4 linked regions of the Oryzias latipes genome follow. The protein of the gene in region 1 interacts with the protein of each later gene in a biochemical or structural test. Links are inferred from orthologs where the notes say so. Each region holds a gene or a part of one and is shown in the gene's direction. Other genes may lie near its edges.

What was found.
Region 2: the proteins of pdzk1 (region 1) and slc34a1 form a complex in vitro, tested with the Homo sapiens proteins (2 studies listed by BioGRID and IntAct, with this or other methods). The link is inferred for Oryzias latipes from reciprocal best matches to the Homo sapiens genes PDZK1 and SLC34A1.
Region 3: the proteins of pdzk1 (region 1) and slc15a5 interact in a test that uses a peptide from one of them, tested with the Homo sapiens proteins (2 studies listed by IntAct, with this or other methods). The link is inferred for Oryzias latipes from reciprocal best matches to the Homo sapiens genes PDZK1 and SLC15A5.
Region 4: the proteins of pdzk1 (region 1) and cftr form a complex in vitro, tested with the Homo sapiens proteins (2 studies listed by BioGRID and IntAct, with this or other methods). The link is inferred for Oryzias latipes from reciprocal best matches to the Homo sapiens genes PDZK1 and CFTR.

Annotation. Positions count from the first base shown.
Region 1 is NC_019879.2:25,367,557-25,375,735, reverse strand, and holds the start of pdzk1 (Na(+)/H(+) exchange regulatory cofactor NHE-RF3), read left to right. Parts: upstream 1-3,391; 5' UTR 3,392-3,554; intron 3,555-4,724; 5' UTR 4,725-4,726; coding exon 4,727-4,933; intron 4,934-5,010; coding exon 5,011-5,236; intron 5,237-7,642; coding exon 7,643-7,975; intron 7,976-8,179. UniProt on the Homo sapiens protein: A scaffold protein that connects plasma membrane proteins and regulatory components, regulating their surface expression in epithelial cells apical domains.
Region 2 is NC_019868.2:16,453,189-16,460,800, forward strand, and holds part of slc34a1 (sodium-dependent phosphate transport protein 2A), read left to right. Parts: coding exon 1-134; intron 135-538; coding exon 539-685; intron 686-959; coding exon 960-1,103; intron 1,104-3,959; coding exon 3,960-4,071; intron 4,072-4,567; coding exon 4,568-4,763; intron 4,764-6,496; coding exon 6,497-6,577; intron 6,578-6,700; coding exon 6,701-6,767; intron 6,768-6,854; coding exon 6,855-7,022; intron 7,023-7,163; coding exon 7,164-7,280; intron 7,281-7,612.
Region 3 is NC_019864.2:31,086,992-31,095,382, reverse strand, and holds slc15a5 (solute carrier family 15 member 5), read left to right. Parts: upstream 1-4,004; 5' UTR 4,005-5,033; coding exon 5,034-5,740; intron 5,741-6,476; coding exon 6,477-6,646; intron 6,647-6,722; coding exon 6,723-7,130; intron 7,131-7,245; coding exon 7,246-7,476; intron 7,477-7,547; coding exon 7,548-7,679; intron 7,680-7,760; coding exon 7,761-7,869; intron 7,870-7,937; coding exon 7,938-8,022; 3' UTR 8,023-8,222; downstream 8,223-8,391. Other genes in the region: ras-related protein Rab-19, read right to left, coding at 496-690; ccdc34 (coiled-coil domain-containing protein 34), read right to left, coding at 1,843-2,018, 2,121-2,250, 2,338-2,496, 2,572-2,679, 2,754-2,970, 3,247-3,455. UniProt on the Homo sapiens protein: Proton oligopeptide cotransporter.
Region 4 is NC_019864.2:3,311,622-3,319,233, forward strand, and holds part of cftr (cystic fibrosis transmembrane conductance regulator), read left to right. Parts: intron 1-3,613; coding exon 3,614-3,722; intron 3,723-5,276; coding exon 5,277-5,492; intron 5,493-6,686; coding exon 6,687-6,776; intron 6,777-7,498; coding exon 7,499-7,612. UniProt on the Homo sapiens protein: Epithelial ion channel that plays an important role in the regulation of epithelial ion and water transport and fluid homeostasis. Mediates the transport of chloride ions across the cell membrane.

The DNA of each region.
Region 1 (8,179 bases):
AAAAAAATATATATATATATATATATATAATGCTGAGAAAGGAATAATAGAATAAGTGTTCAAAAAAAGTTTTTTAGGTACCAAAAGGCCCCAAAAATTTAAATAACTTGTGTTTTAACCTTTTTCTCAGATTTTTATGCTCGTATAATGTAAGTTCTGTGCAATAATATCCTAACATGCATTTTTATCATACAGCTCAGGCATGTTTTTGTGTGTTTGTGAGGGTAATTGATGCAACCAAATGTTTCTCCTGCTGTTTGGAGCTCAACTTCTCCATCAAAAGTACCAGGAGATCCGTGGGGAAAACCGGATTCACGTTCCTTCCAGCTGCTGCCACAGATGATTCACGTCTCCAATGTAGGGAAAGGAATCTATGCATCTCCAGCCTGAACTACAGTATTTGGATTTATTCTTGTTGAGAATTTTTGTGCCATAAAAAAGTATCAGAGTGCCACGAAAGAAGCAGAAAAGTGAAGGCCGTTCACGCAGATTCAATGCATACGTTAAAAGGTTTTGTAAATGGAAACATTAGAGATCATGGATATGCTTACCATTTGTGACATAGATGTCATGTGCAAGTTCATTTGAGAGCAAAGAAATAGCCTGCATTTTCTAAATTAATAGTACTTTTTTTGTAATACATACTTTTTATGTTCCAATAAAAGAACCCATATTTCTGGAACAATTCTATGTGATGCTTATAGATTTTATCATCCTTCATTTATTTTCTAATGACACCAGATGAGTCTGTTGTGAGCAACTCATTACAAAAGTAACATACTACAGTCAGTTTTGCTGTAGAAAAGTACTGTAGGGTATTAATAATGCATTTTGAGTAAAGGTTAACTATTGTGTGTGTTACAATAGATTAACCATCCAAAAGGCAATTTTTCAAAGTTTGTATTTAATCACTTAAATTCAATTCAAGCTTTTTATTCATTTTGGCCAAACTTACTGAACCCAATTTCTTGTAAAGTTTCATAGACAGCAAATAAAACAACGATTAAGCCTCTAGCATCCATCAATAAACAAGCACTTATAGGATTCTTGATGGAGAATCACGACAACGTCATCATTGCAAAAATACTAATCAAACTTCAAATGTTAAGCTTTAAAAAACAAACAGCAAATTTACGGCTGTTGTTTTAGATAACGGCTCCTCCAGCGCTCAAAACCTTGGCCAGGTTGACATCCGAAGAAATGAGCAGAACAACAAGATCCAGTGCAGGATACCTTAAAGAAGGACTGTTCTTGTCCAGGCCAATCAGCATTTTCTTATTACTAACTACCAATGCACTTAAAATGATTCAAAACTTCCCTTTGGCACGAATATGAAGCAATTATTTTTAACAAACAGACATGTCAGCATTTTTAAATATGTAGTATTTTAAGAAGTAAAACAGTATTTACAAAACTATAAATGATCTCAAATAATGTATTATGAGAAGTAGTGTTTTTGTTTTGTCTTGTTATATTACGAAATGATTGTACCTTTTAGGTAATTGCCATGTGTTGTTTTATGCTAATTGTTAATTCTTGTATTTGTACGTCTTGAGGACTGCAGATGGAGAGCTATGGTCTGGTACCATGTCCCTTTTCTTTGACTGATGCTCCTGTACATGGTCCCTCTCAAATCTGATTAACCCTTGTACTATCCTAGGCACTTTAACATTGGGAGTAGGGTCATCTAGACCCACTACACAGTGCATTGAACCTTTTTTCTTCAATGATTTGTGATCTTCACTGGTGTCCATGGATTACATGAAATCTTTCCACCTTTATCCACCTTTGTCATGGTAGGAAAAACACGTCAATGTAAGGGTGGGGTCATCTTAGATAGCACAAGGGTTATCTAAACTAGACCCAGACACTTTCTTTCATATATGTGCTCTGTATAGGCGTCGACCATTCTGATTTTTTCCACCAAGCTAACATCTGTCTGTCCTGTTGTTACAGAACATCAGGTTTCAGTCCGGTCCAACAAAAGAACACAAATATAATTAATATAAATAAAAATTAGTCTAAATTACAAATGGGGTTAATTCAAATATACACCTTGTGTGTCAGAAGATTCATAACCCCATGTTGTAACAGTAAAATATGTCTAACACAAGAGGCCTTCATCCACTTTTGTTTCAATTTTCTTAAGTAGGAAGAATTTGTTTGAGCCTTTCTGAGGGAAAAAAGCCTCAGATTCTCCCTTTAGTCTCTTTTTTCCCCCTCATTCTTCAATGTAGATGTTTAAAGCTGAGGGTTTTTCCTGTGCTTTTATTGGACCAAAAATAAATGATCATTATTCATGATTAAATCATATTGCTCCTTACGTGACTATAAAATAATTGCTCTGCTATACATTTTTAGCTTCAGATTTAATGTTCCACATCTCAAGATTTTACAAAGAAACAAACTTAATGCACACAATACAATGCGGAGACAGTATAAAAATAAGTAATTACTTTTACATAACGAGCAATCTGTTACGTAACACAGTTTGGAAGTAACTTGCACAACACTGTTGTCGGAATGCAATAACCATATAAACAGGAGGCCCCACCCAAGCTTCACCTGGACGTCATGTTAATGTTGCTGAAAAAGTCCTGACTTTACAGAGTGAAGTCCTAAGTGCAGCCTTTGCTTCTAAGCTGCAGGTTGTTTCTGTGAAAGATCAAAATCTGGTTAAGTCTGCAAGTGAGGACCAACTCTTCCAAAAAATAAAAAGGGAGGATGTGGCTTTTTGTTGCTTTGTCCTTTGCAAAGTTGCTCAAAACACAACAATAAAATAAAATGGTGTTTTAAAGAAATTCCTCAAAAAATGAAGTTAGTCAGTTAAAGTTAAACAAAAACAAGGATTTATAATAGAGCTGCTGCAGGGCTGAGTCCATGTGGGGGGTGTCTAAGGGCAGGGATGCCAGTTTAGCTTAGTCAGTTTTTTTAGTTCATTTTAGTATTTTCCTATTGAACGCTTTGTATTCGTGATCCTTTTGAGTTCACGTTTTACTTTGAAGCCCATCGAGACGACTGTTGTTGTGATTTTGGGCTACACAAATAAAATTGAATTGAATTGAATTGAATGTGGTTTTTTTTGTTATTTTCTGACTAAAAACATAAGAACAAAAACAACTTTTATGGTTTATATTTAACCTACTAGTAATCTATAGATTAAGGGATTAAACTATGTTCCTAAAGCGCATTCAAAAAAACAGCTGGTAAAAAAGAATCTTTTATTATGGTTATAAACGGATGGCACGCACTTCATGTTTTCTGTGATGCATGAACTGTAATTGCTTAATTGCCGCCCACTTGGTGGACCTTTGACCACAGAGCAGGTGACTGCCTTTTCTGCAGGCGCAGATTGAACAGCACCATTGCCTCTCCAGACATTCACGACACAAGACACTGTTAAATAACTCAACCTTTAGGTCCACCTTTGGCCCGCCAAAGTCCCCGCTCAGAGATGAAGAGGAGGGTCGGGGACAGGCCGAGGGAACAATAACAGGTAATCGGTGACAGGTGGAATCTCTCTTCAGACTTGGACACTGAACAGGTGAGAGCTGGTGAGTGAGCACGCTTTTAAAAAATGCATTTTAAAGTAATTTGTATGGCGAATCTGGATCCGATTTTTTGTTTGATTATTTTTGTTTTGGTACATTTTATGTGTTGTACACTGACTCTATTCAGAAATGTCCTTAGATTAATTTAAAAAATGATAGATGATAAGTATTGTAAGCCACAACTTTCCTTTATATACTATATTATTTAAAAAAAATGCATTTATGTTCATCTTGACCCCAAAAGATTGAAAATTTTTTGTATAAATGAAAGGAAACATTTTTTGTGACGATGACTGTCTTTAGCATGCGTGAACTTCTTACTTTACCCGTCCAAACAGACATAGCAGCACACAAAGGGAATGACTCTGACAGTCCTTGTTATGCATGTCCATGTGAGTGCTGCATGCTCCGTAGACAGCTGTGCCTCCCATTAACTATTAACCGGCGCTCCAAAGCTTTCATGGAAGATTAACTCTTCATCTGGAATTATCAGCACTTCTGTGGCAGCTTTATGTCCAGGATTATTTGGTAATTTAGTTATGTTTACAAGACTAAACCAATGACACATGGGTGGGAGCAGATAAAAACTGATGATTTTAGCATCAGTAAGACAGATCAGGCTCCTCAGTGGTGTAGTGGTGCAGTGGTTGGCACTCTTGCCCCACAGTGAGAAGGCACTGGTTCAAATCCCAGCTGGGTCCTTTCTGTGTGGAGTTTGCACTTTTATTTTTTGGAGTTTGATGGGTTTTTTCTTCATCACACAGTCCAAAAACATGCTTCATAGGTTAATTGGTTACTCTGAAGCCTGGGTGTCCCTCGTCTTCACCCAACAGCAGCCAGGACAGGCTCCAGCAACCCCATGACCCCGAAAGGGATATAGCAGTTTAACCCTTGTGCCATCTTAGATGACGCCACCCTTGCATTGACATGTTCAGCGCACTGTCTAGTGGGTCTAGATGACCCAACTCCCACTCTTAAAGTGCCTAGGATAGCACAAGGGTTACGAAAACAGATGAATAATTAGCTGTACCAAACTTGTTATTATTGTTTTTCATAATGCTAGAGCATTCAATGAACTAAAAATGTCGATTCAAAGTTTGTTTTCATGTGCTTAGGTTTCACGATTTATGTTTTTCCTAAATTGATGAGTGATGTTTTTTGTTTTATTTTCAGACATGGCCGCGTACAAGCCAAGGGTGATTTCTCTGACTAAAAAGCCGAGACAGACCTTCGGCTTCTTTTTGAGGATGGAGCTTGGCGAGGAGGGTCACCTGATCCGCTCTCTGGAAATGGGAGGCCCAGCCGAACTGGCGGGCATCAAAGACGGAGACCGCATCATCCGAGTCAACGGAACATTTGTCGATGGGCTGTCCCACACGGAGGTGAGCTCCTCGTAACGTCTCCTTGATAATCCAGGATCAAACACGTCTTCCTTTGTCCCTTTTTTTTTTATTTTCAGGTTGTGGAGCTGGTGAAAAACAGCGGAACATCAGTCACATTCCACATTATGGACGAGTCAACTTATAAGGAAGCAAAGGCAAAAGGGGTCAACCTCTCTGAACAACACAGCACAGTGGGGTCAAAGGTCATTGCCAACGGAGTGGCCAAAGGGGATCCAAAACCTAAACTCTGCTACTTGGTGAAATCGGCTTCAGGATTCGAGTTTTCTCTTTTCACGAGTAACGGTGAGCTCAGAATCAGGAACTTCAGATAAATCCCCTTCGTATCCTCAGTGAGGGTAACAGAAGGGTGATTCTGTAGGAAACATCTTTAGCTTGAGTAAAGCATGATCTCCAATCATCTAGTATTAAATGGTCCATGTTATTGATCTTCATTATAACACAGTAATAGTCCACACATTTCATGACCACCAGCAGAAAACACAAAGAATTGACTTTGATGCAATTCTTTCTTCATCTAGTCCTTTTTTATTTTTTCACAGCAGGTAATGAAAGTTTGAAAAATATAAAAATGTAAATTGTTTTGATCTTATTTAATTATACTTAAAGTTTTTTTCTAGAAACAAATTTTTACTTTTAACCAAAGAAAATGTAAATAGAAAAATTTTACCTTAACTTGAAGAAAGAAATCTAATCTGTTAGAAAGAAATCCAGTTTTCTGAATTTAGGTGCATGGTGGTGATTAGATTAGATTAGATTAGATTAGATTAGATTAGAATAGAATAGAATAGAATAGAATAGAATAGAATAGAATAGAATAGAATAGAATAGAATAGAATAGAATAGAATAGACGTTGATCATTTTTATTTCAAAAATTAATTTGAATACATTTTCTTCACAGACTACGAAATGGCGAACAGACTTAATAACAGAACAGAGTAGTGAAAGAATTTGGACATTGCCATGATTAAAAATCCACTGGGAACACTTTGAAAATAACTCAAAAGATGATCTTTAAAACATTTGCCCCGGTTCCTACGCATAATTAATGCAATAAGAACAATACCAATAACCATCTGCAGACAAACTAAACTAAAGACGCCAAAAAAGGAAATATTTGTTGTATAAACTGGAAAAAAACAAATGACAAACATTTTTGTTTGTAGATACATAACTTTACGTTTATAAAAGGTAAATTACTGAAACAAGTAGAGGGGGTGTCAGTGCTGCATGTGGGTCATGTGTTTGATGAGTTTCATGAGCAGATGTTGTTGCTGCTTTCATGCCACACTGCTGTCATTTCTCCTCCATGTGATCACTCGAAATTACATCCAGTTGTGCTGGTGTCAGTGTTTGCTGGTAAAAGAGGTCTTCCACTGCTGGGAAGTGCCTTTCCTAAAGCTAATGTTTATGTCCGAAGTCCCTTCACTATTTAGTAAACTGTATAGTTGTGTTCGCCATTTTTTCGGGGTGTCCAAATCTACAATTCCATCATTTAGTGCTCTAGTAATTTCCCAGAAGTCTCTGCAAAAAACTAGTGCAGATCGATTCTTACTAGGTTGCCAAATATAGACCATAATGCATTGCGTTTGAAAGATTTTTCATTTCAAAACAAAAGAAGTTTTCATCATCAGAACACAGTGGATTCATTGTAAAATGTTCATATTTATTAGGTTTTTACTTCGGGAAGTCGTTACTCAGTACACATGGTTTTCGGATCGCTTTTCAAATCCAGGGCACAAGAAATCTCTGCATGACATCTTTTTTAGAAGTTAGGGCATGAGTGGGCAAACTTTTTCACCCCTGGGCCACAAAGTGTTCTACAGTATAATTTGACAGAAGGGCCGAAGCAGGAGCAGATGCATGGAGTGTTTTGGTGATCCACTTAATTATATATAGAAATAACATGGAAACTGAACAAAAACATGCTTTTGTCATGATTGACATTCAGTGTATATGTTTTTCTAAACAAAGCCTTTTGGAGTTATTTGTTCTAATTTTAGTGGTGATTGCACCAATGGGTCGATGCCCCTCAGGGGAAAACGCAAACTGAGAAAAATGCTGCGTTTAAGTCGTGTTGGAACGATCGGAAAATAACACACATGAATGTCAGAGAAACAACCAATTTTCCAACACCACATGAATGCAAAGTAATAGGTTTCTGGACCTGAACAAAGGTCAATGAAGTTGTTGTGCACCATGTAGAGCGACCCAATGGTGGTCCATGAGATCTACCACTCGGCGTGTTTTCCAGTTCTCTCTTGACTGCTTTCTGCTGATTAGCTGACTCAGGTGTCACCTTATTCTTATTGGCTGAACACCTGGGCCAGGGAGAAAGTGCAACGAGCTGCAAAGCAGACAGAATGGTAGATCTTGAGGAACAGGATTGGGCAGGCCTGGGATTATCCAAATAATTTATTCCAGATTAAATATTTGCCCCCGGGCCATAGTTTGTCCACCCCTGAGTTAGGGGGTAGAGAGGGAATCCACATATAGCCTTTCTAACTGTATTAATGATGAAAGTCAAACTGCTGCAAAACATTTTTAGGACCTGAAAAGGTCAAAGAGCATGCTGGAAGGTGGAAAGAGAAATGTACTGTGAAGTATCACTAGCATCCCAACAAGTCTTTTTCTGTCTAAATGGTGGCTAAAATGTTGCTTTTTGTTGTTGTTTTTACACTGATTTCTAGATGAGGAGGGTCTGTTCATTACAGAAGTGAGCCCAGGAGGCGTGGCACACAAGGCAGGCGTCAGAGCCAAAGACCGCCTGCTGGAGGTTAACGGAGAGAATGTGGAAGACTGCACACACGAACAGGTGGTGAATAAAATCAAACAAGCCGGGAACACCCTTATGTTTCTGCTGCTCGACGAGGACGCAGACAAGGTCTGCAGGAGCCAATATGCAAAAATGGGGTCGCGGTTGGCCACCGTCAAGTTTCTCCCTCACAAACCGCGTCTCGTCAACCTGACTAAAGGACCTGACGGATTTGGCTTCGTGCTCAGAGAGGAGCCCAAACAAGCAGGCAAGGCCACAATAATATAATGTTTTTTATAGCTTAATCCTTTAAGCCATATGAGCCGGCCTGTGCTTCCAAAGAACCGCAGAAATAATCATCCCCAATAAAAAAAAATTTAATAAATAAAGTCCTAAAATGATACCTAGACATCCAGAACATGCATTGTATATTCTGGTTTCATGGACTTTGGTTTACCTTTTGGATTTTAAC
Region 2 (7,612 bases), on another chromosome or scaffold:
GGACGAAGACACGGAGTCCGGCATCGGCTCCACCCTTGACCTCACAAGCAGCAGCAAGGGTGACGGCAAACATACAAATCAGCCCTTTGGTTCACCTTCGTTCAGAGCGGCAGACAGACTTCCCAGAGAGAACGGTACAAGATGGTCATCAATAGGAGTATCTTACTTTCATCTCAAGGAGTGGCAGCTGGTTTGATTTCCTTTGAAAAGACTAATTATAACTGCAGAAGCCGAGCCAAAGGCTTATCGGACAAGGACATGCTTAAAAAAAAAAAAGACACAGCCGTAGTGTGACCATGTGGCCATACTGTCCCGCAGTGGTGTCTGGCTGCACTCGGGTAATGGTGCATGGAAGATGGCTTTGTTCTCTGCATGTGGCTCAAGTTATCACTCTCACCCAGAACCCAGAATGCAGAGAATAAAAGAAAAATGCAGCTGCGTGAAAAATTCCAGATTTCGGTGCCATTACTCCTTGAGCATTGTGCTGTTTTATCTACAACCTTCTACCTGTTTTGATTTTTTTTTTTTTTTTTTACAGAAGCCCCCCCTCAGACCTCAGAAGTGAGTCCACACAAGATCAAACAGCTCCTTATCAACTTATCCAAGGTCCCTCTTCTCTTCATCCTTCTCTTCTTCTTTATTTGCTCCCTGGACACTCTGAGCTCTGCCTTCCAGTTGGCAGGGGGTAAGTGTAATTCTCACTGCTCACCCACTGTGTCGATCATCACTCAGTGAGTTGATGTTTGACAAATAAGCTATAGCCACAGAGGAGCAACCTTTGCTGCTCCCCTTAGTCCCTCTGGGTGATGTACTGGGAAGCTTCATCTGTGACCTTCATAAATTTGGGGAAACAAGCATTTGGAGTCATGTTTAACATTGCTCATGGCAACCTTTTCATCCCCCGGTCTTTTTTTCTGTCCCTGTGTGTTTCTGTGTATGTGGGTGGCATATTTAACCAGGTAAAGTGGCAGGGGACATTTTCAAGGACAATGCGGTGCTGTCCAACCCCGTGGCTGGCCTGGTGGTGGGGATTCTGGTTACTGTGCTCGTTCAGAGCTCATCAACCTCCACCTCCATTGTTGTCAGCCTGGTGGCCTCCGGATGTGAGTAGGCGCGTTCGAGTTTTATATAAAAATGTCAGCATATTTCATAGTTTAAATAAGGTTTTGAGGTTGAAAGAAGGCATCCGAGCCAGCATCATCTAGTCTGTGTTCAGCGCGCTTAATCCTTTCATTCTTGTGTGTCTCAGCAGACTATCATTACCCATGAATAGATACAGCAATAAATACGAAAACCTTGATAAATCAATTAGGAGCAAATAGTCGATGCTGAATCTTTGATGGCAGCAACAAATAAATATTTTGATTCTGACAGCCTGGCTGTTTAAGTAATCACTGACTGTATTATCTAGAGAAGCTACCGTAAATTCTTATCCTTTTTTCTCCCATGATGTAAAAGATTAATTTAGTAAATAGAAATGACACTGAATGGACAAACGTTTACTAAGATTTTGAAGAATTTAAAGCTGCTTTTTGCTCTGTAATAGTGAGATCTTTGTTCTTGTTATTCTTCATTTAATTTGCAGCGAATTTCTAATAGCTTAATCAAAATTTCGTGTGATCCACCATGTGATGACAAAAGGTCAAACATATCACATCAGCAAGTCAGATTCTCTTCATGCAAAAGTAAAAAGGTTTAACTTCAACACAAAAGTAGGCAGGTTAACTTTCTGAATTTTATTACAGTTTTTGCCTCTTTAAATGACAATCCTACTGCACTTGGATTGATTTTTTATACACAGCATTTTTAAATTTTGAATTAGAAGCTAAATTATTGACCATTTCAATAGCAAGCCGCTATTGAATCTTTGACTTTAGAGGAGCTTTACTGTCAGGATTGTTTGTTTCGCATGTTTTGACATTTTTAGAAAGATCAGGAAGACAACCAACACAAGGCTAAAATAATGCATTAACCTCTTAAGACTTGAACAAATATTTGAGCGAACTCTCAACACACGTAGACACAACGTCTCAGAAGTTTACTGTGGTAAAATAACCGAACATGTGATGTCCACACATGCGGACGCCAGGTCTATAGACGTTAAAGTTGTTCTAGTGCAAACTGATGAGTCCTGTGACTGTACACTTTGATCAGCTCTCTATACAATCACAGAGCTTTCTCTGTATCTGCTCGCCAAGTGTGAAATGTCCTGGCCAGAAAGACCATTGTTCTCGCAGAACAAACGTTTGGCTCCCTGCAGAGTTTAAACCTTAGTTGTCTATTAGTGCAGATTAAAGAAGCAGCTGAACCGTCAACTCTTTCATTTCCTCTTTATTAGTAATTAATATAAAAGTAAAGGTAGAATCATTATTTTACCTTATACTTATAATAAGACCTTAAAAGACTTTCTATTCATTCTATTTAAGACCAACATTACGGAAATATTCCCAGAGCAAACCGATATTTAAATGTCTAAAACTGTGAAAGTAAACATGCAGCTATGACTGAGTTTAAAGGGTAACGCTGACGCCACTGGAGCTATTTATGGTTGTATTACATTTTCACAGGTTTCCTAAATAAAAATGCACATGTTGATGTCACATGAACACAGAGAGCCAAAATATTGAGCACTTTCATGCCTCTGTATCAGCTGCAGCGGTAATGGATGTCTGTGGGTCCATCAGTGTTGGTATTTATTTTTTGTACAGCCAAAACAGCTTCTGAAAAATGTAAAACGCTGGCGCACATTTGTTTGGAAAATGATTTTCCCTTTAGCTCTGAAATAAAAATCATGCAATAATTATGACAGCAGTTTGCACAAATGTTGCGTTGATTGTGCAATTGTGACATTTAGTCTCCAGATGGCTAAATAATGATTTCATATAGACATTTAAAAGTATAACAAGTTATATTTGAGCATTTTGATAAATATTTATATATATATTTTGAAAAAAAGGTCTGATAACCCCTTGACACCTCTTTGGCTCCAGACTTACCTTCATTTTGCATCTACTTGAAAGAAAAAACACGAGTGAAATGTATTTTTCAATCCTGAAAATAAATTCAGGCGTCTATGAGTTAAAGAGTGTAGATTAAAAATATTTTTGATACTTCCAGTTCAGATTAAACTTTGCAGAAAACATCAAAAATTAAGGTAAATAATTTTTTTTATTAATTTATTAATTTTTTAAATTTTTTTGTTGAAAGGAATCATTTCAAAAGTGTTTGCACACTAACTTATAATCAGGGTATTTTTGTTACAGATCAAACTACATGCTCAAATAAATGAGTAATGAAAAATGTCTGATGCATAAATAGGTTTCTGAAACTTCTGAGCACAAAAAATGCTAACAATACATTAATGCTGCAATGAAAGTGTTTACTTTTAGTGGCATATTTATATAGACTGCATTAAAAAAAGAGATGTCCTTGTTCAAAACTGACCTGGGAAACCTAAGATATGTGGCATTAATAAGTAATAAAAAAGGATTAAGACTTTTACATGTTCCACGTTTTTCTTCTGAAAGGAAGCATTAGTGTGAAGAAGCTATTTGTGAGGCCTTTTTTTTAAATGGGAAAGCACAGCATAAAAAAACATAAACATATAGTACAGACCAAAAGTTAGGACACACCTTCCCATTCATTTAAAGGAGAGGGTGTGTCCAAACTTTTGGTCTGTACTGTATTTCTTCATGAAGTGGGTTCGGGATGCTATATCAATGAGGGCACATGCAACATTAACCCCTCCTGTGAGAGTGCTTCCTCTGGTTTTAAAACCGCAATCACCACTCGTCTATTCAACCTCAAGTCAGCTCCAAAACACTCCACGCCGTGCATATCAATTATACGTGGAGGACATGTATACATTGTCTGTTGCAGTTAGCTTATTTACTATGCATGAGGATAGACACAATGATCTTATTATGTAAAACAAAACCTTCTGTTTCGTCTTCTCCTAGTGCTAGAAGTGAAGTCGGCAGTTCCAGTCATCATGGGGTCCAATATTGGCACTTCTGTCACAAACACCATAGTGGCCATGATGCAAGCTGCAGAGAGAAATGAGTTTCAGCGGTGAGTGAGGAGTGTGGTAAGGCAGAGAACAGACAACAGAGGAGCAGGGAGGATGGAAATGAATCAGTCCAGTGGTAAGTAGGTAGAAAAAAAAATGGAAGACGGAATGATAAAAGTAATGAAAGTCACAGGGCACAAAGCGAGGGGGGATGATGAGAAAGCATTGGTAGTTGTTTGCTGGCTCTCACTGTTAACCTCTGTTTCAGTGTAATTTCAAAATCGTGATAATAATGGCATCAGTCCAAATTGACTACAGCAGTAAATATCTGGTATAACTCTAGGCTCAACAGATGGCATATTATTTTACAATTTTTTAAATAAACATATTTAAATATATTAATGTTTTGGACTCAGTCAACAATGAAAACCTTCACTGGAGTTCAAAATCAGAGTAGTCCAGGCCTAAAAATCATAGTTAGGATCAATTACTTTGAGTAAATGATCACGTTTATTGGTGGCTGACCTCAAAGAACATAATTCTCTTGACCTGTCACAGCGCCTTTGCTGGAGCAACCATCCATGACTGCTTCAACTGGCTGTCGGTCCTGTTCCTGCTGCCTCTGGAGGCGGTGAGTGGGTTGATGACCCGGCTGTCCCACCTCCTGGTTAGCATCTTACAAATCCAGTCAGGAGAAGATGCCCCCGAGCTTCTAAAGGTCATCACTGAGCCAGTAACAACACTCATCATACAGGTAAACATGACAGCTAGGCAGCATTTTCTCAATATCCTACTTTGTAAAATTGTCCTTCAAAATGCAATCATGGAGAGACACATTGCTGCGACAACAATCTAGCCATTTTCTACATTCCCCCTTTTCTTAATTAGGGTCACAGAGGCCTGCTTTACCCTCTGTGGCCTGTGGGAGATAGAGTCATTCTACCAGTATCTCCTTAAAATGAGGAGAATGTCATGACTTGTAGGATGGACAGGCCCAGATAATGAAACCCAGAATGAGGACACAGGTAGGTAAGAGGTAAGTAAGAGTTTTTATTTTTCTTCCAGGAGAGATGGTAGTGGCTTGGAATGAGGCTGATGAGGACTGCGGCTTGAGGCGTGGCTGGAGGTAATAACGCGGCTTTGCAGAGTGTGTAGTTTCCACAGGTACGCAGGAGGGCACGATCTGACTTCCGAACAGGTGACACTTGGAGGCTGGAATCCTGAGACAAGGGGAATAATATTGGCGTCGAGACAAGACTAAGTTTTGAAAACATGAGCAAGACTGAGACCAGGTTTAGTCACCATAAGGGGCAACGAACTGGCGATGAATACTGGAGCTGGATCTCCTTTAGAGCTGCAGCGGTTGATGAGGTGGATTGGTAACAGCTAGTGGAGTCAGGAGCACAGCAGGAGGGGGAGGGGCAGGAGACTGACAGGCACCATAACAGAGAAAGGGCTAATCTCTGACATAACTATGGCATCCCAAATTCAGAACTTTGAAATAATCACACGTACCATCTATCTCAAAATCTCTGAATATTGTTTTTACAAACAATTAAGGTTTGCCCTTTAGCATTATTGCAACAATGTCACTTCTAAATTTAAAATTCCATTCCGATCATCTTTTGATCTTTTGTAAAAGCATTCCCAGTAGTCTTTTAATTATGATTAAGCAATTTTTAGCCAAAAATCAAATACTTGGGGATGTTTTCTCCAGGACATAGTGTCTGCAGAGCGGTAGCAGTTCCTTAGAAATTCACTTCTAAGTTGTGGGCGGGTATGTTGGCGTGGAGTAAGCCTTCCTATCATCCCTTTGTTCACATGCCGTCCTGCTAGCTTACAGCCCCTCCCAACTTTTGGAATTGTAGATTCGAACGGCTAAAAAATGGCAAATGCACTACAGTACATGGCACACTATGTAGTGAGGAGAAAAGGAATTTGGACACAACTTGAGAGAGACTTAAATTTCAACACTTTTGGATGTGGTGCTAATCATCTATCTGTTACAAAACACAAGAGATTGTTTCTTTTTTATTAAACAAACAAGTATATTAAGTTAAGTTAAAGATATGGCGTGATACATTTTTCCTCTGGAATTAAACTCCAAATTTAAAAAAAACATCTTTGCTTGGACCAAGGAGACCCCAACCCTAACTAACCCTAACTCTGCTAAAATTAGCACATTGCAGCTTTAAATTTCTTTATTTCAACCCAATTATAGGACGTTTAAAAATGTTGCCGACAATTTTTCTAAATATTTATCCGACTGCAATGTAACTTTAAATACAGGTTAATTTAAACCACCAGATAAAAACAGTTTTATAATTGTAAGAATAGGCGTTCAGGTAAAACATCAGTGCATTTATTCACATTGCATGCACCTTAAACTCTGTGGTAAAGCCTTGTCAAATGGGTAAAATAATTAGGAATCTTTTCTCATCCCATTATTTTACTATGATTTAAAACAATTTCTTGTTTTTCTCTTAGCTAGAGAAATGTGTGATCACAGGGATTGCCATGGGAAATGAGGGCATGAGGAACAAGAGCCTGGTGAAGGAATGGTGCCAGGTAATCATTCTATTGTGCCATTCTTTCCTGCACATTTTGTCTCACATGCAGCATTTGAAGATTAAAGTCAAACCTTTTCCTCATCCTTACCTATGGCTTCTTTCTTTCTTTGTTTCTTTCTAGTCTGCTGGCAATGGGAGCTTTGACAACTGTGGAAGTAACGATTTTCCATCGTCGTCACGTGTTAAATGCAAGTAACATCAGTGTTTTGACGTTTTAGAAGATAAAAATGAAGTGAAAAAAAATCTCAAAATCTGTGTTTTTGTTTTCTTTGTAGGTAAACATCTGTTTGCATCCACTGAGTTGTCAGACCTCACGGTGGGTCTTATTCTCCTGGCTGCTTCTCTGGTGGTCCTCTGCTCATGTCTGCTACTTCTAGTCAAGCTGCTTAACTCTCTTCTTAAAGGCCAAGTAGCAAAGGTCATCCATAAAGTCATTAACACAGGTGAGTTAATGAAGTGAGCAGCAGAAAGTCAGTAGTGCCATTAGAAGTACTAAACCTCAAAACATCATTTGGTAAGAGTCAAGCGTTGTTTAGACTGTGCAACAGTTTTTTAATACTTATCTTTTAATTATATCCTGACAGACCTGCCTTATCCCTTTGGGTGGCTGGCAGGATACGTTGCCATGTTTGTGGGTGCAGGCATCACATTTGTGGTCCAAAGCAGCTCTGTTTTTACTTCAGCCATGACTCCACTTGTAGGTGAGTAAAGTGCTTTGTTTGACCGTAAACAACAAGTTCAGTTTTGCTTTTTTTCCTCCAACATAATTTACCTTCTATTACACATTTATTCAAATTGTTCTGAGGTTGAACAGAAATTGAGGTTATTTAATAAAAACAAATATTTGTGTCTTTTTCTGTGTGATCCAAGAATCAACAGGCTTCTAAACTGATTTAAAATGTAAGAAATAAGCTTCTCTAAACATTTTTGATACATACTTTCAAAAAAAAGCTTTAAAACATTTTTTTATTGAAAAAAAAGGTTTGTTGAAACAAAAATGTCAAACTTTTCTGAAAAAGTGAGAGCTTTGTAC
Region 3 (8,391 bases), on another chromosome or scaffold:
CACGCCATTTAGACAATTCAATGTTCTCCTTATTTTCTCATCAAAGTTTCCCAAATAGACAAGAGAAGAAGGCCGGGATCCTTCAGAGTCCGGGACAGGGAGGACCAGCATCAGAAACGGCCTGGAACCAGAACCGTCGTTTCCACAACAAACAAAACGACTGAAGTTGGCTTCCTGTTCACAGCTTCCGATGGCATGGGGCACTAAGCGAACATTCCACTGAGACCACCCAGAACCGGGTCCTGTTCCAAAACCACAGGCCCTGTAGACTAAACAATGTGTTTATGTATTCTTTACTATCTCAATCCTAATTTAATCCTGGTTTGAGCAGTCCAGGGCCAGCGGTTTTTAACAGGACCTGGACCTAGGTGGTCTCACTGTGAAGAATGTTCCTTCAGAAGCTGTGAATAGGAAGCTAACTTCAGCGTCGTCCAAACTGACCCGTTAGTCTGCGCTGAACTGTCAGAAAACATCCCAGACAGACAGAAGACCCACCTTCACCTTCTTCCCGTCAATATCCATGGTTTGAACGGTGAAGTCCACCCCGATGGTGTTCTGCTGCTTCTCCATGAAAACGCCAGACTTGAAGCTCTGGACCAGGCAGGTTTTCCCCACGTCCGAATCCCCCACCAGGATGATCTTGAACAGAAAGTCGAAGGAGTCCTCGCTGTCCGAGCAGGCAGACTGCATGCTGACAAAAACAGCGGCTTTCACAGCTCTGCGCCTCGACCAGCGCCTTCTGTTGAGTCAACAATAACTATTTACACAATTTACAGTCACATCCTCCAGAAAAAGACGAGGAGAATCTCCTTTAGGACAGCCGGAACATGTCAGCCAGACAGCCTTTTCCTAAAACAGCCACCGGGACAGAAGAGTGAGGACCGGTGGTTTCCCTCTGAAGAAAAGGAGGGGATCCCTCAGGAGGATCCAAATCCTTCCACCTGACAGGTGAAAGCCCGGTTCTTCATCCCAGCCTCAGACTTCAGCCTGCATTTGTGCCCTCTGGACTTCTCACTTTCATTCTATGATGGACACGCCCACTACCTGCCTTTGCAGGTGTGACCTCCAGCCGCCAGCCCACATGCACCACTGCATCCTGGAGCTTCAGTTTTCTGTCCAAACAGGTGGCGATACCTGGAAAAGGAGGAACAAGTCTGTGAATAATTCATGACCCCGTTGGCTGGTTAAACATTTCCATGTTCCCATAAATCTGAGGAAGCAGAGAGACGGAGGTCTTTATCTGATCAGCTGTTGGCGCTCACCGCCGTCTCGTCCACACATTCCCGTCAGGCGCTCTGGAACAAACATCAACGTTTTACCTTCACCAGACGGAGCACGCCGCTCCGACCTCCCTGCGCTCCCCCACACTGCTCCCTGCTGTCACCTCAGCCCGCAGAAGATCCAGCCGGACGCCAAACAATGGCGGCGTGTGAGCGACGCTGAGCAGCCGGCTCCTTCTGCTGCATCACCGGACCTCAGAGGAGCTTTGTGTGCCAGACGGGCTCTGAATGTGCAGCTTTTATGCAAACACAGAACAAGTTCAGAGTCTGGAGGACAGAAAACATGATCCCGGACTCTGAAATCACTTTTATTTTTCTATTTTACTTTCAAAGTAAAGTCAAGTATTGACATCCTGAAAAACGGATGAATCCATCGCAATATGGACTGAATGTGACAGCAGCTCCAAAGATGATGAAATGAAGCTTCTGAGGCTTTTGAGGCTTCAGATGTTTCTGTGGCTTTTAGGCCTCTGAAACCTCTAAAGGCTTTTGAGGCTTCAGAGGCTTTTCTGATTTCCAAAGCTTCTGAAGCTTTCGGGGCCTCTGAGGGCCACACAGTAAGTCATCTCCTCTGCAGCAGACGCGGCGTGCTCCCAGCGTTTGACCGTCTTAAAGCCCCGCGGTGACCCTGACCCTGGACAGGCGTCTTCTTCTGCGGGTTTTCCGGAGGGGCGTGGATGGGCTTCCAGGGGATTGGGTTGTAGAAGCTGGGAGCTGGGATCAGTCTGTCGTAGGGACCTTAAAGGAAACATATTTCTGAACTTCCTGTAAACATCCAGACTAACAAACGGCGGCTGCATCTCAGGCAGGAGCTCTGGTGAGTCCTTCAGGGGAACTCACTCGTTTGGTGACGAGGGGATTCGGGACTCGCTCTGCTTTTCTCATTGGCTTTAGCGAGCCACTCCTTAAACTTCTCCTCTGCCCTCCTGCGGCGCTCCTCCTCCTGCTCCCCCTTCAGGACTGCTATTTCCTGTTAGATCGTCAGACGCATGAAGATTTTTCACCCAGTTTTGAGAAAAATCCTTGAGAAATGTTGGTTTCCAGGAAGTCTTATTGCCTTCTCTTTCTTTTCCTTCTGTAGTTTTTCTTGGTTCTTCTTCTGCAGCCAGACGTTATACCTCTGCTGAGCTTTCTGCTCAACCTCCCTCTGTTTCTCCATCTCCTTCTGCATCTTCTCCTCCTCTGCTCTGTGTTTCACCAGCTGCTCCTGCATCTTCTATGTGAACGCAGAGAATGACTGCAGCCCTCATCACCATGTCACTAAAATCACTTGAAACTGACTGTTTCTTACGTGTTTTCTTTTCACTTTCAGCCATTCCTGAATCTTCTCTTCCATGACCATCCTTTTCCGTTCTTGCTCCTTCTCCTGCTGTTCTTCTTTTTCTTTCAGGATGCGTTCCTGGGATACAGGATGAGGAGACGTGAAAGAAAGAAGCAAGAGGAACGGAGAAAGAACTGCAACAAGAAACTTACTTCTTCTGCCTTCTTTTCCAGTTTAAGTCGCTCCTCTTTAGCTTTGCTCAATACCCATGTTTCCCACGCGCTGAGAGAAGCTGCAGACGGCTGGGCAGCAGACGGCTGGGCTGCAGACGGCTGGGCAGCAGACGGCTGGGCTGCAGACGGCTGGGATGCAGACGGCTGGGATGCAGACGGCTCCAGAGAAGATTTAGGAAGCTCACATCTAGAAGAGCTTCAGAAACAGACAGAATCAGAGCTGCGGAGCTTAAAACTGTCTTAGTAACCGATCCCCTTCAAACATCAGAACAGTGAGATGTTCTGTGGGTTCTGTCTGGGTTCCTCTCATCCACAGAAGAAGTGGAAGAAAAAGAGACCAGATGTTCCATTCAGCAGAACCTGAGATCAGCAGGACTCTGCAGCTGCTGACGAGATACTTTCTGATGCTTCCAGAGAAGCTGAGATGATGGAAGAAAGACAGAACCAGAACCAGAACCAGGACCAGCAGTACCTGTCTGGAGACCCGGGTCCCTGCAGCCGGATGGGGCTGGAGTTCAGCTCCTCTCCGTCGCTGTCGAAGCTGTCGTGGTAGATGGGAGACAGCAGAGAAAACGTGTCTTCGTCTCCGGTAGACTCCCCGGCTATGAGCTCCGTCGTTCGGTTGCTCTTAACCGGGGTTGAGCTGAACCCCCCCGACACGGACACCGGACAGTTTGGCATCCTTTTTCCGGTCAGTGGACCCAGATTTCTGCGGTGGAAGCCTCTAAATGTTGCAAACTAGTGTTCAGAAACGTTACAAGAACCAACGAAAGCCGGAAAACAAACGCAGAGCGGGATCAAAATGACGCTTTAGCTAGGCTAGGCTAACGTTAGCAAACAGTTAGCAAGAATAGCACGAGCTCGTATTTTCGCGCCACACAGATTAAGGTTTTATTGTTTTTCATCTCTAGAAAGACTTATCTGTGTAGAAAAAACCTTCGGTCCTGCTCCGGACATTCAGCGGTGGATTTACAGAGGAAAACGGGAAACGTTTAAAAACTTTGTTATTCCTTTGATAGGCCACGCCTCCAAGAGCCAAGGCACGCGGTCTCCGTTTCCATGGTGACGCCTGACGCCCTTTTTTGGTCTTGTTCAACTTTCAGCAATCCGACAGATGACGCTTGCAATATTGAAAATAAATATAGTGAATTTAGATTTGAACAGTTCCTCTGCGTTTTTATTTAGACGATTAAAGTAGATACATCAAAATAAACAACTAAAATGTAGTTTATTTATGTACAAAGATATATGTTAGTATTATAGCACACAAGCACAAACTCCCCCACAAATATATAAGCCTTTTATACTTTTCCTTTTTTCCTTTCTCTACATGTTTTTTGAGTTTATATTTGATGTAATTTTGAAAAAAAACATGTCACACTTTAGAGCTTTCTTAAAAAAGATTCTTTGCTTCAGAATGTCTGTTCTTGGTTGGTTGTTTATCCCACAGTTCTGTCCCGGTTGAAACCGAAATCTTGTTATTCTTTCCCAATTAACGTTCTGAGCCTAATTGGGGCCCAAAGGCAGCTCATGCAGCGGGTCACGCTTTCACAGAGACACGCCACATTCTGAGTGTGTGCATCAACACTGCGCGGCTGCTCAAAGCACTGATGCATTCTGGGTAAGTTAATGACAAATCTTTTTTCCCCTTAAGTACCGTAGGACATGACTTTGAGGTTTTCTTAAATCTCTCAGGGTTAAATTTTAACGTGGCGTGCAAACACAAGCGCCGGGAGGTGATTTGTGTGCAGCTCCACCTGAGCTCATGTCCATGACCTTTTCGCTCCACACCTGGAAACACGTGGAGCCTCACACCTGTTCACCAAAGTATTACATGGAAGACAGATTCTAAGACTGGAATGAAGCTGGTTTTAATGATGGGGAGTTGAAGCTCCTCATTGATCCAGACTGTAACAGGAAAACATTTTCAGATCATTTCTGCAATAACTTAACAGTAACTGTCTTGAAGCTGGAGATCCTGTTGGTTCCAACAACTTACTGGGGGTGTTCTCTAAATCACCCCCACCTCTCATTCCTTCTAGATGCAATTTTGCACAGAGTGTTAGATTCCCATCAGGATCACATAGTTCGGAGGGAGATCTACCAGCAGCCGGTCAGCGAGTGCCTGTGGTTCAGTGTCACACCAGCTTGTGGGATTCCAGATTGTGCCGCTGTTGCCTGCGTCACACAGCAGCAGGAAGCTTCTTTCAGTTCAGCGCTCCTCAGCAGACGGAGACGCCGCCGGGCCCTTCTCCTGCTATGGCGGCCGGAGAATTTCAGATTCTGCTGAAGGGCAGGAGCCCGGCGCCACGGTTGTCCCAGGGTCTTCCTCCGGAGCGGAGATCCCAGAGGAAACCCAGCAAAAAGCTCCGCGTTATCATCTGTGTGCTGCTGGTAGAGTTGTGTGAAAGGTTCACATTCTTTGGGATTGTTTGCAACATGATTCTCTTCTGCACCGTGAAGCTGGGCTACGACAACCGCCTGGCAGCAACTGTCAACCTGTGCTTCATCGGAGCCAGCACCCTGAGCCCCGTCCTGGTCGGCTGGTTCGCAGAAACCGTCCTAGGTAGAACTAAAGTGCTCTACTTGTGCACTCTTCTTCATTTCTTTGGTAAGAGAAGTTCCTACAAACATTACAGGGCCCCAAAAAAACAAAACACGAAACCCTCAAAGTTGATGCTCAGTTGTCCGGTTTCTTCTTGCTGCTGCCATGCCGTCTTCTCGTCACTGCTGTCCTCTTTAGGTACGGTCATGCTGCCTGTGGTGGCGTTCCCCTTTGAGGATTTCTACATCGACACTCATCACATGCTCCACAGGCTGGAAGCGCAGGAGCAGCAGATCCTGTTCTACACCGGCCTCCTGGCTGCTGCGCTGGGCATCGGCGGCATCCGGGCCGTTCTCTGTCCCATGGGGGCCTACAGCCTGCAGACCTACAACCAACACCAGCTGCTGTCCTTCTTCAACTGGTGGGTGGCGTGGAAGCAGAGCGTCCAGAGAGACCAGAATATAGTTTCTACCGGGTCAATAAGGTTCTCCCTGAACCGCTTGACGTCAGGTGTTCTTTCAATGGGACCACAAATTATAAAAGATGTCTCAAGATTTTGTCAAATTCTCCAAAATGTATTTAGGCGTGATGACAAATTCTGATAACCATAAAAGAAAATGGTTCAGTTGGTTAATTTCATCTTTATTTCTGGATATCTTAGTCCCCAAAGGAACTCATGAACAAATTCATGAGAAGGCTTTTCATAATGATGTGTCACAGACTGAAGGGAAAGATCTAGAATAATCATTTTAACAGCGACTGAAGACAATGCCGTCCATCTTCACTTATGCTGCAATTTTATAAAAATTCAAATTTGTTAATTAACCTGCTTCAAAACCTCCTCACAGATGCAGACGTAAACAGAACTGTACTTTTCCATCTGCACAGACTGATCTGAATAAAAATGTCATCTTAACCTCAGCTTTATTATAAAAGGAGAAGCTGATGGTTGAGAAATCCTGCAGTAGAAGATGCTGTTGGGCTAAAAACTGAAGGCTTTGTATCCAAAAGGTTGGAAAACATGAATATTACAACAAAAGACAACAATCAAGAGGACTGCTGTTACCTGTTCTTTAGAAATGTTGGCAGGTTTTACTCACCCGGCGTGGACATTGCAGCTTCTGCAAACGTCTGACGTTCTGCTCTGCTGGATTCAGGTTCTACTGGTTGGTGAACCTGAATTCCACGGTGGTGTTTCTGGGCATCGCCTACATCCAGCAGTCTGTGGCTCAGAACCTGGGCTTCCTCATCCCCTTCACCTCTGTGCTCCTGGCTCTCATCGCCATCCACATGACGCGCAGCAAACTCACCTACAGACCCAGAAAAGGTGACAGGAGGCCCTGACCCAAAGCAAGCAGCTCCTGCAGGCTCGCATCCTTCCCTGGCTCTTCTGTGTGTCTCAGGAGGGTCTCTGCTGACCACGCTGGGAGTCTTTCTGAACTCTCTGAAGATGTGCTGCCTCCACCGTCGCCACCTGAGTGGAGACGTGGTGTCTTGGCTGGACCGGGCCAAGGAGAACAACGGCGGTCGGTACAGTGAGAGGCATGTGGAGAGCGTCAAAGTCCTGACGGAGCTCTTCCCTCTCTACGGGCTGCAGCTGCTGTACAGGGCCTGCGTCACGCAGATCCCCTCCGGCTACTACATTCAGGCCATGAACTCCAACCTGCACCTGGACGTCCTGCTGCTGCCCATCGGCACCATGAACGTGGTCAGCATCCTGCCCCTGCTGCTGCTGGCTCCACTGGCTGAGTTTGTGACCACCTACCTCCTCTCGACGGGGAAAACTCCTCTGGCTCCTGCAAAGCTCATAGGTACGGCTGAGTTCGCCTTTCTACTCAAACCCGAGCTTATAGCATCTTCTTCTAAAAGTTCTGGCGTGTCTTTCACTCCCTTTCTGCTCCTGACATCACAACCCTCGTTCTGCAGCCCCTCTCTCACCAGCCCCCCCTGTCCATCCTCCCCTTCCAGCTCTGGGACACGCGTGTGCCGCTCTGTCTGTTCTGGGGGCAGGCGTGTCGGAGATGTGGAGGAGGCTCCACCCCTTGGTGGAGCAGACTCTGTCTGGAAAGGTTCTGCAGGTGTCGTCCATGCCGTGTTTCCACCTGGCGCCTCAGTACGTCCTGCTGGGCGTGGCAGAAGCCCTCGTCACCCCTGCATGTGCGTGAAGGAGCATCCATGGTGGCATTTTCCTCCTGACTTCCTTCCTAACCACCCGTCCTCTCTGCCAGGTTCCCTCATTTCCTTCCAGCTGACCCCGAGCCACATCAGAGGAATCTCCCTGCATTTCCTCACCCTGTCCTACGGAGGGGGCTGTTTTCTAGGAGCCCTCATCCTTCAGCTGGTGCACGCCGTCTCAGGAGGTGCAACGGGAATCAAACTGCAGGTTGCATGTTGTCCTCTTAGCCTGAATAACTGTGAACTACAAACATCTACTCCAACAGGTGACTTCTACCCAAATTCACTTCAAGATGGGAATCTGGAGGGGTTCTTCTTCATCCTGTCCACCCTGATGGCTGTGAACACCCTGCTGTTCTGGAGAGTGTCGTGCAGGTAGGGCATCATGGAAACATCCCAAAGCATCAAGGGAAATGAGCTGGAGTCGTCCTGCCCGTGTGCAGGTACGTGGACCTGAGCGTGCGAGGAGGAGCCCGGAGCTGCAAAGCCCCTCTGCGCTTCTACGACACCACCGACCCGGCCGTGTGACCTTCCTGCTGGTGGCGCTGCGTGTTGTTGTCTGCATGAGGGAGTTTTCACCCAGAATTCAAAGGTGACAATTCAATGTGAAAAATTACTATTCAATCTGGAAAATGGGCTGCACGGTGGCGCAGTGGTTAGCGCTCTTGCCTCACAACAAGAAGGTCCCCGATTCAAGTCCTGGCTGGGGGACCTGAACCAGAACACCAGTGGGGGGCCTTTCTGTTTGCATGTTTTCCCCGTGCATGCATGCGTTTTCTCCGGGGTCTCCGACTCCCTCCCACCGTCCATAGGTTCATTGGTTACTCTATGAGTGTACGTGTGCATGTGTGTGTGATTGTGGCCCTGCGACCTGTCCGGGGTGTCCCCTGCCTTCGC
Region 4 (7,612 bases), on another chromosome or scaffold:
AGTTTTTACAAAACAGAATGATTTGCAGTAGAAGTGTGTAAATGAGCTTCCCAAGGGTCTGTGATAACGTCCTATATCAGGTTTGTCGGCGTAAACGCTGCAGATCTGTGCTCTGCTGCATCCATGTTTATGCTTGCTGTAAGGCATTTGCCCTTTCCGTGTGTTTACAGTAGCAGATCATGCAGTGGCTTCACTTCATAGTCAATTTCAAATATGGGCTGGTATTTAAAATGAAGTGCCAACAAACAGACTGTTTCTGGGTGATGACAGCAGAAAACCTCTATTTATTGTCTATTTATTGAAATTGTTATACAGTATCACCCAATTACCTAAGAATTTTGTTTTTACATTTTTTTTGTTTACAAAAAAGGAGTGCTATTTTAACCTTTTTTTCCCCCAGAAAATAATGATAAAGTTATTTTGATCGTGTTAAATCTACAGAGACGCATTCAGCCCCTTTCAGCAATGTGACTGGAGAAGCTGAGTGCATCCATGTGCCTGCATTCAACAAATTTGAACCCTTAAGTCGTAACCCTTGTGCTATCCTAGGCACTTTAACATTGGGAGTTGGGTCATCTAGACCCACTAGACAGTGCTCTGAACCTTTTTTCTTCAGTGATTTGTGATCTTCACTGGTGTCCATGGATTACATGAAATCTTTCCACCTTTATCCACCTTTGTCATGGTAGGGAGAACACCTCAATGTAAGGGGGGGGTCATCTAAGATGGCACAAGGGTTAATATGAGTTAAGTGGGCTTTATTTTTCTTTTAAAACCCCTTTGTTTATGCCTAAAAGATTTCAAATCTTATTCTCCTTTTATTTTAAAAATAAACTGTGTGGGACCCCTGATAAAAGCATCTCATTAGGGGGGGTTCATTTTTTCCATGTTTGTATTTTGAGGTGATTTGTTGTTTGTGACACATCATGGAAAACTAAACTAAACTAAACTCAACCTGAATTCTTTTCGTTTGCTCTCTGTAGATTTCCTGTAAAAGAAACAAATGCGATCATGTTTGGTCTACGATGAAAGTTTCTGCTGTTCTGTTCTGTTCAGCTGTCATGGATGCATAGAAATTGTATTTTGCTCAACTGTGGTGAATTGTAAAAATAAGAAGACTGATATAGAGATGTGCTTGTTGATGAAAAAATATTAGGATAAACATAAACTGAGCTGGAATCTTCAGCGGTTTTTCTTTGGAATTTAGGAGAGATCAGCATTTTTTAAGGCTTTTGTTACTCTGTTAAGGTCAGTAGTGGCTTTCCAAGAGTTCGGTCTCATAGTAGCTCCTCTGGTTGTTTCTGCTGTAATATATTTGCTCACACTGAAAAAGAAGTAGCCTAAAGGCCCGTACACACCGGGACGAATATTCGCCAGGCGTTATTCGCCAGCGTTTTTCGCCACGTTTTTTGTGTTCACACCCAGGCGATTTTCGCTGACGATGAGTGGAATGAACATGCAATTTCATTCCCTGACATTAGATGGCGCTTAATGTAAAACAGAAATACTCCTGTACACAAGGTGGCGCTGCGCAACTTTACGCTTCTTAAAGTCGCTTTTCACTCAGAAGAAGAGAGCAAGTATTTACACGCTTGTCAGAATCAAACAAAGAAAACATGAATATTTCAAGCACCAGTAGCTCCAACTGGTACTTGGTTCGGGGATATTTTAGAATGTCCGTCATTATTGCTTCGCGGTTGTGTAGACGCTACTTGGCGTCTATCTTCTTCGCTGGTATGTGTGCTCAGCAAGGCAGTTTTGTGTTTGAGCGCCCCCAAGTTGTGTTTTACTGTAACTTCAGAAGCTCCAGACACGTGAGCAAAAGCGCCATTCTCATTGGTCGAGTAGATTTCGACGCGACGCGTCGAAAAAAAAAAACGAACCCGAGGCGTTTTTTTTTTTTGACGCTTTAACGCCTGGCGTTTTTTCGCGTCGGTGTGCACACTCTCGTTGGTGCCCTTTGTTTAGTCACGAGGCGTTAAACGTCGGCGAAAATCGCCGGCGAAATTCGTCCCGGTGTGAACATGGGAAAAGAACACCAATCACAAGGAAGTATACCAAAATGATCTGTCCATGCAGCAGCAAACTTTAACTTAATAATGAATCTTATTAGATAAAACATTCCAGAAACAAGGGGTTTGACACAAGCACTCAAAAGGAAAAACTGAGCTATATGCCACTTTTGGATAGAATTACTTCAAATTGAACATTATCCATGACAGTAGTAAGAGATTTTTTTTTGCTTGTTCTTAACACATGGTTTGTGTTTTTTGAGTTTTATGTATGATTGTAGTTCAAACAGAGATAAAAAAGTGTAATTAGCGGAAATGACTCATTTTAAAATAAAATGTGAACTAAATGTGACTAAGTTCTTAGTTGGACCATCTCAATAAACCCTCATAAAATCTAAAACCGGCACTTGTTCTTTGAACAGAAATCTGGATGGGAATAATGACAATGAATGCCAGTCTAACTTGTCAACATTTATTTTGATAATTTTTGAGTTTTAAATCAAGTTTTTCTATTGTCAGGAGTATGTAGCAAAATGATTTTAACTTATTTTTATTATGATTTCCTAACTTCTTGATCCTAGCTGTTAACGAGAATTCTCAACTATTTGAGAAAAGCTTAGAGCAAAGAAAAAGTTCAAACAACGTTTAACCTGGTAAAATACCTTGAATGTCTAAAAACAAAGGTTTTAAATTCTTGCTGTTTATGGCTGTTAAGAACATTTTTCACTTTGTTACAAAACCGGAACATTAGTCCCATCTTTCCCCTTCATCTGTTTGTCTTGACTTTTCCCAACAACTGCAGAGAGATGGATCCCACTTTGCTTTTTCCATCCTTTCAGCCTTTTCTCACTTTGAATGGAGCAGACAAACCAGTTAATGTTCATGGGTGGTAAAAAGTTAACCTTTAAAAGATTCCCAGTGCTCACCAGCTGATAAATGACTGGTTGATTTTGGCCTCATTTGGCCTCAGTAGCTGAGCAGAGATTCTGAGAATGTGAACTTTACCTTCTCCTGACGCATGACCCTGTCGGCCGCTCTGTCAGCATCAGCTTAGTCCAATTCAATGACCTCTACCAAAAACCCTTTACATACCCGTGTGCTGCTTCACCTCACAGCCTGCGCTGTAGCTTAACAAGAAATACGCAAAGTGCACAGCTTTTAGGGAAAATAAAGATAAAATGATACATACAAATTGTATTTATAGAACAGATTAGTGAACAGATATTTATTTTATTATTAGTCGCTCATTATGGCGAGGACAATGACATGGGTGGTACTGTTTCACGTGCCTCCCCTGACTGCACGGTTCCTAGTAAAAAAAGGATTTTGATGAAGAAGAAAAACCACCGAACCGATCCCAAACCCGTCCAAATTATGTCAACCTGCCCAAAGGAATTTTTGCCCACAAATAGAAACCAAAACTGTCCAATTGGGCAGGAAACCACCCAATCTGGCAACACTGCTCCTGAACTTAGATTGTTGCCAAAGTAGTAGCATGCAAATGGCATGTAGAGTCCATCTTGGTTGACATGTGGATGATAGATGTGCTATTCTCTGCCTGAATGCTGCTAAAGTGTGCTGTAACTCTTGACACCCTGCAGAGAATGGGACAGAGAGGTGGTGTCATCCAAGAGGCCCAGGCTGCTGAAAGCACTGGCTCGCTGTTTCTTCCTGCCCTTCGCCTTCTTTGGTATCCTTCTCTACCTCGGGGTGAGTGTCAGAAAGATTCTGAAGTCTGATTAAACACAGTTGGGATGTCTTTATTAAATAGAATGGTTATAATCCAAGATAAAGGGATTAGTCTTCATCTAAATGAAACAATCTCAGGGCATCATACAAAACTTTCTATGAGAATGTGTGACCCTGCATTAGAATGGGGACCTGTCCAGGTATACTCCAATTTCACCCCACAGTCGCTGGGATGGGCTCCATTGATGAGGACAATTGATCAGCAGCAAAACAGAGCAAAATGGACACTGCTGCTTACATTAATCTGTGAATCTGAGGATATATTCAGACGGCACAATTGGTTTGCTTAAACTCAACCACAGTTCCTTTCCTCCGACAATCCAGAACAAATTTTCAGTCTGAATACACTCAAGTGGATCCTGGTCCTGGACCAAGAACCGCTCTCTGACCCATATTTGGAGGTGGTCTTGGTTCGTTTCCAATCGGACTGAGCTTCAGTTCGCTCTGAGATTCTTCTGTCTGAATACAATCCTTTCTCAGAACAACTGAACCAAAAAAGCCACCTTCGGTGAGCATTATGGGTTGTAAACAGAGTAGTTAAGCTGTGGGTATACGTGAAGCCATAACAAGACACAGCAACTCATTGAAATGTAGCCGGATAAATGCTGGCTCATTAGAATAATTTTTACCTACCTTTAACTAAAATTGCTTCTCACAGTTTTCCCAACAATCTATATGTCATAAACACTTATCAGTGTACCCTCTTAGCCGTCTTCTTGCCAACAATCGGCCTGCAGCATGCCTCCACTTTCCCAAAGTAAAAGGTGTTGTACCTGACAAGGTGTTGTACAGACATTCAGAATTGGTCTGCGAAATATAAAGTTTGAATCAGTCATCCTTTCTGCCTTTCATTGTTTTGCCCCACCCTCGTAATTCATGGCCAATGATTGAGTAGATCCTCAGTCATGTGCTTTTGTTTACAAACCTTGGTTCGAAACTGAAATGTCCGCTTCACGGAAGTCTGAGTACAGACCAAGAGCAAGGTTCACGACTCAATCTGGACCAAATTAAGCAGACAGGGTCCAGACCGATGGACTTTTCCTGTCTGTGCACATGTATAAGGGGAAGGGGATTAACAAAATCATGTTTTCTTAAGGTAAATTACTTCCAGTGAACTGTTCTTTCTCCAAAAACCTGGTTGACAAGTTCTATTGAGCATCCTATAGAGCAGCCACTGGATGGAAAAGGTACAGAGAAGTTGACATTGAATTAACATTGAAATAGAAGCTTTCATTCCAAACACTGAATTGCTAAAACACAATTGGTAATTTTTTTTCTTGTAAATCAATTAAGTCAAAAGAAAGTCAGTCAGTGCTGAGCCAAAGAAACAGATGCTGGTAAAACCAATAAAAACAAAACCTGAAGACGAAAAACATTTGTGATTGTGTTAATAATAGTGGGATTCATTTAAATGATCAGAAATTGACTACAATGAAAACATACTCAGCTTTGGCAGCAGAAATGCAGAAGAATGTTGAGGAGGAGAGGAGCGTGACAATCTACCTGACTTTGCAGGAAGCTTCAAAGACTGTGCAGCCTCAGCTTTCTGGACGCATTATTGCTTCCTTCGATCCATTCCATTCTCCAGAGCGACAGCAGGGATACTACCTGGCCCTGGGACTGGGCCTTCTCCTCACTGCTCGTTTCATTCTCCTGCAGCCCGCCATTTTCGGCCTTCATCACCTTGGCATGCAGATTCGCATTGCTCTTTTTAGTCTTATTTACAAGAAGGTAAGAACAGTACATGTTTGACAACAACATTTGATTTTCTTCTTTTAGAAATGTGCATGGATTTTTATTCAAATATTTGAGTAAAACCCCAAAAAGTTGATAGTTTACTGTAGTATTTTGATCTCAAATGTTTTTTAGTTAGCTGAAAATCCAATACTATTGATATTAAATCTTTGAAATGGCATTTTGTCATTTGTGTGAAAGACACAACACAACTTACTGTGTGTAAAGAGTTGTGGTAGATGACGATAACATGATCTATTTAACATTATTTGACAAAATGAGCCAAAAAAGGAAAACAGGGGTTTTAAACTACTGTCAAAGATTTTCATGAGTGGAAAGTCCACACCCCTACCACTTGAAAGCAGGCTACACCAAATCTGGCCAACAAATTGAATGTCCGAGTTGGGAGCCAGATTAAATACTTTCAATTTGGAAATAACCTCATCTACCTTCTTATCAAACTGTTTCACTTTGTTTTACTTTAAAAATTACACACTTTATACACTTTTCTCAGACAGACATGAACATTTTCACACTTTTTGTCAAGGTTCAAACCTTCATTGAAAAATAAGTCCAGCATTAAAGAATGAAAACAAAAAGCTGATCGCAAAGCTTTAAGCAAATGTAAAAAGCGGAAAGCATTTTGCACAAGAGACACGGCACAGAGGAGGTTGATTTATAAGGTCAACAGTCAATCAGGATGCTGAACCCAAAACAGCAAGACCATGAAAGCTGAAACATGACAAAGTGGGATCACTTCAAATTTGTATTTCATTAACCTTCTGTGACTGATGAAGGCAGCTGTACCTCGGAGATGAAACAGTCATCTCTAATTCATAGGGTTGATGGCTTGATAATTACCACAGTCTCAGTTCAAGTGTCTTTGGACAAGGCACTAAATTGTATTTGCCATTCATTCTAAAACCGATTTATAATTTAGCCTTTTCTGACACTTAAAGCCACAATGGAATGTGTTTGCTGAGATGTGTTTTGGTCATGTGATAGACTCGCTAGATGAATGGATTTCCCTCTGTTTTACATTGGATGTCCTTGGCCTAAATCCTTTCACGCTACACCTTTCCTAAAATCTTCTTGCATGACCCAAGTGTCGCACAAGTTGTCTGACTTTTCAAAGTCCAGTTTACTTTCACATTTGTGCCTTTGTTGATCCCTGACATTTCAACGTTCCAGACCCTGAAGCTCTCCAGCAAAGTCTTGGACAAGATCACCACAGGCCAGCTCGTCAGTCTGATGTCTGCCCACCTCAACAAGCTGGATGAGGTAAGAGTCAAGACATTCCTATGAGAAGAAAAGTTTACTTGATCCGCTAGAAAACCCCAAAAGCTGAGTTTGAAATCTGTGAAGCACATGCAGAATCAGAATAACCATTAATAATTATACGCTTTGGCTGTTTCCCATGAAAGTCAAATTTTAAAATTCTTCTCAGTGTCCATGCTACCACCAGAGCCTTCTCCTCTGTAATGAAGACAATACCAGATATACATGACTGAGTTTTATTACCTAAACAAAGGTTACGTCATTTGTTGTGACAGTGTTGAGAAAACCGTATCCATGCAAAGTAAGTGTAGGAAGTGAAGACCTGTGTGGATTGTCAGCTGTTTTGCCTAAAGTCTCACTGAGGTGTTGAATGTAGAAACACTTTGTGCCTGCTTTGGGACAATTATCACCTGACTTACATCTGGCTTGTATAATATGAATAACTGGTTTGGTGTAGTTTTGCTGTTTGGAGATCAAAGAGATGCAGGAGTTGGCCGTTCTTTATTTAACGTTCTTGTGTGACGATTTCAGTGTAGCATGCAACTTTCACATCCCCCTTTCACTTTGCAGTATATCCCACAGAGTCACATCAAAGACGTGTGGTAACGCAACACTTTTTGTTTAAGATTAAGGCGATGTCATGAAGGACAGGACTTAGAAAAGTGACCCTGTCTTCTGCAAAATGCAATGCAAACAAATACAACATGTGTTGGTGTGCGTTCCAGAGTCTGGGTCTTGCACACTTTGTGTGGATCACGCCCCTGCAGTGTATGCTGTGTGCGGGTCTGGTTTGGGAGCTGATTGAGGTGAACTCCCTCTGGGGTTTATTGGCCATGATC